Linked DNA regions of Bombyx mori. The protein of the gene in region 1 interacts with the protein of each later gene in a pairwise test. Links are inferred from orthologs where the notes say so. Each region holds a gene or a part of one and is shown on either strand. Other genes may lie near its edges.

Evidence for each region.
Region 2: the proteins of Cna (region 1) and protein sarah interact in binary tests that used the Caenorhabditis elegans proteins (3 or more experiments, as listed by UniProt). The link is inferred for Bombyx mori from reciprocal best matches to the Caenorhabditis elegans genes tax-6 and rcan-1.

What each region holds. Positions count from the first base shown.
Region 1 is NC_085116.1:8,360,722-8,364,887, forward strand, and holds the start of Cna (calcineurin A), read left to right. Parts: upstream 1-1,358; 5' UTR 1,359-1,551; coding exon 1,552-3,039; 3' UTR 3,040-4,166. UniProt on the Caenorhabditis elegans protein: Calcium-dependent, calmodulin-stimulated protein phosphatase. Dephosphorylates arrd-17. Dephosphorylates daf-16 at 'Ser-319' which regulates daf-16 nuclear translocation. Dephosphorylates calcium permeable cation channel pkd-2 at 'Ser-534'.
Region 2 is NC_085129.1:7,376,914-7,380,942, forward strand, and holds protein sarah, read left to right. Parts: upstream 1-1,163; 5' UTR 1,164-1,738; coding exon 1,739-2,410; 3' UTR 2,411-3,817; downstream 3,818-4,029. UniProt on the Caenorhabditis elegans protein: Inhibits tax-6/calcineurin A phosphatase activity and thereby negatively regulates calcineurin-mediated functions.

The sequences.
Region 1 (4,166 bases):
CGACGGAAATACGACACGGAAATCTTTCCCAACATCTAGTGAGATGTCTTCTTTCTATTTTTATTTATTTGCTTCGATATTAGACTTGTATCACACTAGCTCTTTAGAGTTTAGAAGCGCATTAGTTGCGCAGACCTCGGTTCTTTTCGAATTCACCAATATTCACCACAGTATTTTGCTATGGTAGCTATCTACACCAAAGACTTTCCTAATCTCTTTTAATAGTTAATAAAACCAACAGTCAACGATGTAATTAGTGTTTTGTAAATGTGTTTTTTACTTTTTCTTAAGAGTTTTTATTGCTTATATGAATGGATGAGCTCATAGCCTACCTTGTGTGAAGTGGTTACCAGAGCCCACAGACATCAACGTAAATGCCGCCCCCACCTTGAGACATGATTTACAAATCTCAGTTATTATAATACAAAGGCGGTTCGTCCCTTACCAAAATGCATTACTGCTTCACGGCAGAAATGGACAGATTCGTGGTACCTTATCGGGTGATGGTTATGGAGTGTCTTCAGATGGCGAGGCCACGCGGTGACCAAACAAGCTGATTCTGGTCTACTCAACCTAAAACGGCATTGACGCTACTATCCAATTACGTCATCGTTATAGGATTATTTATTTAAACTGACAAGCTCGCGGCTTACTTAATTTTCAGTGGTTACCGGAACAGTTAGAAATCACAATGTGAATGCCGCCACCTATCTTAAGATATGAGAAGAAGAGGGTTCAGTTGTAATAGTGCAATGTATATTACTTTAAACTCGTAGTGAATTTCAGTTTATGAAAAGTGAAGTGTTTTGGTTCGTTGTATTACATTTAGTCGAAAATTCTATGAATAGGTACATAGAATAGCTATGTGTTTGAATGGAAAACCTTACTATGTAATAATTACGAATATCTTTACTATCTTTTTTTATGTGTGTTAATATGTATATAAAAATGAATAAATTCATAAATTTAAAATTATGGTAATACACTAAATAAATAATATATATTCTCATTGGGACGGGGATTTAAATTTGCCGCCGTGCTGTAATAGACACACTCGTTCACACCCAATTTTGTAAGGACCTAACAAACGAGAAAACGCAAAACATTTTCAATTCTACATTAATTTTCCTAGCTTTAAAAACATTTTTTTTATTATTTTGGAGTTCAACTGTATTACTTTATTCTGATATGTCTTTTTCTTGCGTTTTACAATAAATTAATTTTAAATTTTTCTTCCGAAATATGATAATGGGCCATTTTAGGCGTTAGAGTCTAAAATTTTTGTTATAATTATTATGAATTTCACTATCTGGCAACAGAATCATTAAATTTCCAGTGTTACTATAAAATGATATTTTCAAAAGTAATAAAACGCGCTCGATATCCCTGTTTATTTTATTGACCACTCGCCAGATGTTTGCGCATTGTTTTCCAGTGCGCAGTAGTTGCTCTGTCGTGAAATCGGGATTCTGTTTTAGTATTATATCTATTCTGCCATTTTGAAAATAGTGGCGTGTATGGATTAGACCTAGTGTTTTTTATGTGACAAATATGTCCGGGAGCAATGATAAAGTGTCGACTACGCAGCGTATGATTCAAAGTGTCGCTTTCCCTCCCAGCCACAAGCTCACAGTATCGGAAGTGTTCGATGAAAAAACTGGAAAGCCACTACCAGATGTATTGAAGCAACATTTTATCCTAGAAGGTCGGATCGAAGAAAATGCGGCCTTACGGATTATTCAAGATGGTGCCACCTTATTACGATCAGAAAAAACTATGATCGAGATCGATTCACCGGTGACTGTGTGTGGAGACGTCCATGGGCAATTTTATGATTTGATGAAATTGTTCGAGGTTGGAGGTTCTCCCTCTTGTACTAAGTATTTATTCTTAGGTGATTATGTCGACCGAGGTTATTTCAGTATAGAATGTGTTCTCTATCTTTGGGCTTTAAAATTATGCTATCCGAAGACATTATTCCTATTACGCGGCAACCACGAATGCAGACACTTGACAGAATATTTCACTTTCAAACAAGAATGTAAAATCAAATATTCAGAGAAGGTGTATGATGCGTGCATGGACGCATTCGATTGCTTGCCCCTGGCTGCTCTTATGAACCAACAGTTCCTCTGCGTTCATGGAGGTCTTTCTCCTGAAATCAACAGCTTAGATGATATCCGTAAACTAGATAGATTCAAAGAGCCACCTGCATTTGGAGCCATGTGTGACCTGCTGTGGTCTGATCCTCTTGAAGATTTTGGCAATGAAAAAAATGCAGAACATTTCTCGCATAACTCCGTTAGGGGTTGCTCATATTTCTATAGCTATGCAGCCTGCTGTGATTTTCTCCAAAGAAACAATTTACTTTCTATCATCCGTGCTCATGAAGCTCAAGATGCTGGCTACCGAATGTATCGTAAAAGCCAAACAACTGGCTTTCCCAGTCTGATAACTATCTTCTCAGCACCAAACTATTTGGATGTCTATAACAATAAGGCTGCTGTATTAAAATATGAAAACAATGTGATGAACATACGCCAATTCAACTGTTCTCCACATCCATATTGGCTACCCAACTTCATGGATGTTTTTACTTGGTCTCTTCCATTTGTAGGTGAAAAAGTTACAGAGATGCTGGTCAATGTTCTGAACATTTGTTCTGATGATGAATTGATGTCAGAAGGAGATGATGCATTGGAGGAAGCTAATCTCAGAAAAGAAGTCATTCGCAATAAAATCCGTGCAATTGGAAAGATGGCTCATGTATTCTCTGTTCTTCGTGAGGAAAGTGAATCTGTTTTGCAATTGAAGGGCTTAACTCCTACTGGTGCTTTACCCCTGGGAGCACTTTCTGGTGGCAAGACATCTTTAAAAAATGCTTTGCAAGGTTTCTCACCTAACCATAAGATAACCTCTTTTGCTGAAGCCAAGGGGTTAGATGCCATCAATGAGCGCATGCCACCAAGGCGGGATGGTCAACGCACTCCTGATACCCAAGAAAAGAAACCGCATGTGAACAGCAATGCTCATTCGTGAAGTGCTACCTTTTATTTCTCTTCGATCCTCACTTTTATTCCACATTTACAGTGGCATGGTGAAATATGTGAAGAAGACTCAGCTTTTGGAATGATATTTCACATTATAATAACTAGGTGGATTTGAAGGGAATTGTCTTAATAATAAATACAAAAATATTTTTAAATTTGGATTTAACTTTTTTTCAATAGTTGAAATTAAAACTTCTCATAAGATATTACCTCTCGATATTTAAATATGTCAGATCTGCAGGCAACAAATTTATTTAGTCAATTAAATATTAAGGTATGCACTTTTATTTAAATATTGCGCTGCACTGTTTAATTTTTTTGGTAATGTAATTTTAAATTTTCATATGAAAAGACATGATATTGTAATGTAAATTAATTCAGATTGTCTACTTATACTCTACATTGTTATCTACTTTAGTGAAAATTAGACATGTCTAAAATTTTCAAAGCATAATTAGCTGTGATATTAAGCAATGATCAATGTATTATTTAATAGCAGTCTGCTAGAGAGGTACAAGCATGTTCATTGGCTAATCATGCATTGAAATCATAAAAGTGGAAGTGTTTTCAGCTTGGGCGTGTCTTTATATTCTATTAAGTAATACTATAATTATGTACTATAGTGTGCAGCACATTGTGTGTTGTTGCCATACGTGTGTGCTGTGTAAATATGCCTTGTGCGTACACACACGTAATTGCAGCTTTAACACTTTGAATAAATATTACTCTCTTAAATATCTTTGCTACAAGTTGTACTTAATTGTATTTAATTGTACAAAATATATTAAAATTATTACCTATAAACTATTACTACTTAAATTTAATTTATATTGGGTGTATGCTGGCCCCTCGTTGCCTGCATGCAGCTGAACTTGTATGCTGGAACATCACATATAAAAGATTATTAGCCATAATGTTTCGGCATATAAGGTGTAGTGGCTAGTCTAATCGCAGATTTTCTTACAGCTTCTTTTTCCAAATTTCACTTACAAATAATGTGGTTTCATACATGTGCACTGTTGGAAAATCTCTTTTGGTCTGCCAAACAAATAAACCTAATGATGCAATATGTTCAAATTGTGAATACTAAAGTGGCTTACATAATTTTCAAGTTCA
Region 2 (4,029 bases), on another chromosome or scaffold:
AATATTTCCATATCAGCTATTACTTTATAATGAGTATCGATGATTTTTTTCTTTTTGATACAAAAAACCATTTCGAGGAATAGGTTGCTGTTAATGAATATATTATAATATGAGCCAAAAGAAATAAAGTTGATTTATTAAAGATTGTAATCATTTGAGGTGAAACTAACTGAAACGACATGAGATGAGAGATGAAAGATTATGAACACAACCAAATGTTACTAAAAAAGGTTCAGTTTTTTTTTTCCTACTTATGCTGATAGCCTTGAGTGAGAGCCTATTTCAGCTTCGCCCTAACGTGTAGGTGAGCTCAGGGGGCTCAAATCGGAGTGTTGCTAACACTGGCCCTAGCAAGAGCAGTGTTTCGCAGAACCTACTACCGCATCGGAAGCGCGACCTACTGAGCAGATCCGACGAGAAACTCAGTGGGCTGTGTCTGTGGGTTAATTCGCTCGTCGAGCCCTTTGTCGCAGGGGACGGGTTCGACGAGGACGATGACCGATGCTTGTGGTACCATTCAGTCTACAAGATCGGGTATGTAATTTCCAGCGGCCACGACAAGAGGGTTCCCGTGTCATGCAGCCTTCTCAAAGTGGCGCAATGATGCCGACTCTAGATATTTACTGACTAAGTCGAGCTCCAGGTCATAATGGAGATCCACGTTCCTTACCATGGTGCTCCGACGGCTATCCTGCAAAACGGGATTGAATAACCTGAAGGGATTTGAAGTTGGTGCGGGCCGCGTGAGCGAACACTACACTTGCATACGTCATGGCGGGGCATATGCAAGTTTTGTAGAGAGATTCAGTAAAATGGTGGTTATATACTATGACTTTTTGGACTTGTTTCATTTTTCATACTTGTGCACTTTCACAGATACTAAGCTACCTTTTATTCTAAAAAGGATGTCATTGTCCTCATAAACTACACTGACATTGTTTCACAGCCACGTGGACGAAACCGCGGCTAACGGCTAGTAATTTCTATCACTATTTTATTAATTGTATAGCTAATGTTTCCGTTACTGAAGTACAATATCTCTGATAACATGTTTCGATTATTGTACACCGCATTAATAAATAAGTCATAAAAGTGTTCAAAACTACCTATAGATAATAATACACATAAACTAGTAGACTACCGTCATTTTATATTAGCAGTGTCTTTAGGTTGTCAATAAGATCATAATGTCCTATTATTTTGGCAGAGAATGCAAGGAGCGAAGCTATGTTAATTTTGCTTTATTTTGGACACCGATGAATATTGTGACTTTGAGAACAAATTCGAGAAAGAGAGAAATATAAGAAGCCGAGAATAGCCTCTTGACATGGCTTCTACCTGTCCTTGTGAAACTGGAATGGCCTTCGGGCCACCAGTAAGCCCTCAATCATAAAAAAAGGCTTCTCCTAATATAGTAAGTTTTAGTAAGCTCTCGCTTTTTACTGTGGCTTATTATTGAAGGTTGAAGAATTTGAATAGCTAACATTAGACTAAAATACTGAATAGCTAATGGTCGTTCAGTACGGTACTTTAAACTAAAAAGCGATTTCAATCTTCAGTTTTATAAAATATGTGTATTATCTATGTTCAATCGATAGCTGTCAAATACCATAAATACAGTCAAATTGAAAAATTCATTAAATAAAATATCCTAAGCGCTAACAGTAGAATTGTTAATGGTATTACTGTATATAAATATTCAGATACTGTTATATACGTTACACAGTAGCGGGGAAACATGGCACACCAAGAAGACTACGATCTATTTCCCGAAGAAAACGTTTACATAAATCCAGAAGATGGAATGCCTAATATTCATCCTAATATAGTTAATTTTGAACAAGAAAGTGATACTCAAGATGAAGTCGACAACTTTGATGACCTACCTAAATCTGTTATTGTAACAAACATTAATAGCATCGTTTTTTCTGATGAAAAATTGAAAAAAGAGATGGAAGACTTATTCCGTACATTTTCGGAAAATGTAACGTTTCAGTGGCTCCGCAGTTTCAAAAGATTACGCGTTAATTATGACAACCCCTTAGCTGCCGCAAATGCACGAATTCAATTACATCAATACCAATTTTATGATTCATGCATAAATTGCTATTTTGCCCAACCTGTGACACCAATTTCATTTAAGAATCTCAGACCCCCGGCGCCTGTTAAGCAATTTTTGATTTCACCTCCATCAAGTCCTCCAGTTGGCTGGGAGCCTCGAGAAGAAGGTGAACCCATTGTGAATCATGACCTTTTAGCGGCACTTGCAAGTTTATCTCCTGGTGAAAGTCGAGAGCTACACGCACCCACACCAACACAACCAGCCATTGTAGTGCACACTGCAATATCAGAGGTTTCTCCTCCGCCTGGTGCAAAAAAAATTCCTCACACTCGTTGTCCAGAATACTGATAAAATGCCTTATGAATTAATAATGTTGACATAAAATAGAATTTTAATGCTTTTATAAAAAACTCATGTCATGTTTGTGATGTGTAAAGCCAAAGATGTTAATTTATTTAGCTGAAAAATAGCCATCATGGAAAAGGCATAGTTGTATATGATAGTCAACTCAACTCACCAATGATAAACTACTTAATTTGTTATAGATTTGCATACTTTTATTAATTAATCATATTGTAAATTCAATTGAAGTTGGATTGGTGCTACATTCTATTAAAGGGTAATCATAAAAATTGTTTTACAAACATTTTATGGTTTAATAAGAAATTTAATCTGAATAGTTCCAGACAGAAGGAAAACCAATTGTGCGATAGAATTTTAAATTATAAATATTGTTAAAGTAATAGTTTAGTAAGCTAAAAGCCTGCAGTTATGACTATAGTTCAAAACATATCAGTCATTGAAGCATATTAATGAAAATACAAAAGATTGCTTTCTTGAGCTTACAAAAAATATGAACATATATCTTTTTTATCTTACATATTATTTTGTTACTATTTGCTGTAGTTTATTTTATTTGCAATATGAACATCATTTAATATTGTTTGGGCTTGTTAATAATGTTTTCAGTTTGTGGGTATACTTGATTCAAAGAAAAAAAAAAGTATTGTCACATTTCTTATAATGTTCCTGATACATTTAACTGAAAATTTTCATCAGTTTAGTTTCAGATAAAATAAAAAAGTGCTATGGGACCCAAAATTCTTGGGAGGAACTGTTTGTTTTTGAAGAGGTTTCTATATCTACTCATTCTCACCTTATATATTTAATTTTAACAAAAAAAAAGAACTTTTTACTTACTTATTGGCTTCTTTGACGTTATTAATATTATTTGCAAATACTATTAGTGATAATATAGTAATATTATGTTAATAAAAGATGTTCTTTAAAAATAACCAACATTTTTGTTAATTTTTTTTAAGAAACTTATAAATTCGAATTTATTTTTGCAGCTGTTGAAAATTACTAGTTAGATAAGTGTTATAAAAATTTAGACATAGTTAAAAAGTTTTGTGATAAAACAAAGTGACACAAAGTTTTGTAAATAATAAAATTATTTTTGAGATTTTCGAATATTTTAAGTACAGATAAAATGCAGTAGTAAAAAAAGGTTTGTTGACTTTTACTAGGAAGCATAATTTATCTGGTTGTCTAAATTAAACTCCACTGGTTGTCTAATTGAATGGAACATATAATATGTTCATTTTTGTGGTGGTGTGTTTATTTAATGTAAAAGTAAAGATTTTTTTTTATCAAGAATTCTAATAAAATTAATGAAAATACAAAATAAACCAAACATAACATAGGTATCTATGTTTTTGCTGAATTATATGAACATTATTAGAAAACATAAAAGAGTTTTTGATTAGCAGATTTTTTGATTTGCTCTCAACTGACCAAATAAAAGTAAATAAGCTCTTAATAATTGTAAATTAATTTGTAACTGGAAAAAATGTGTTCATCCCCATGCACATAAAAGAATTTTTTTCATATTTTTTTAAGAACAATTTATGGTTGACTACTAAATAGCAAATTTATCATGTACCTAAATAGTTTGAACAATCCCG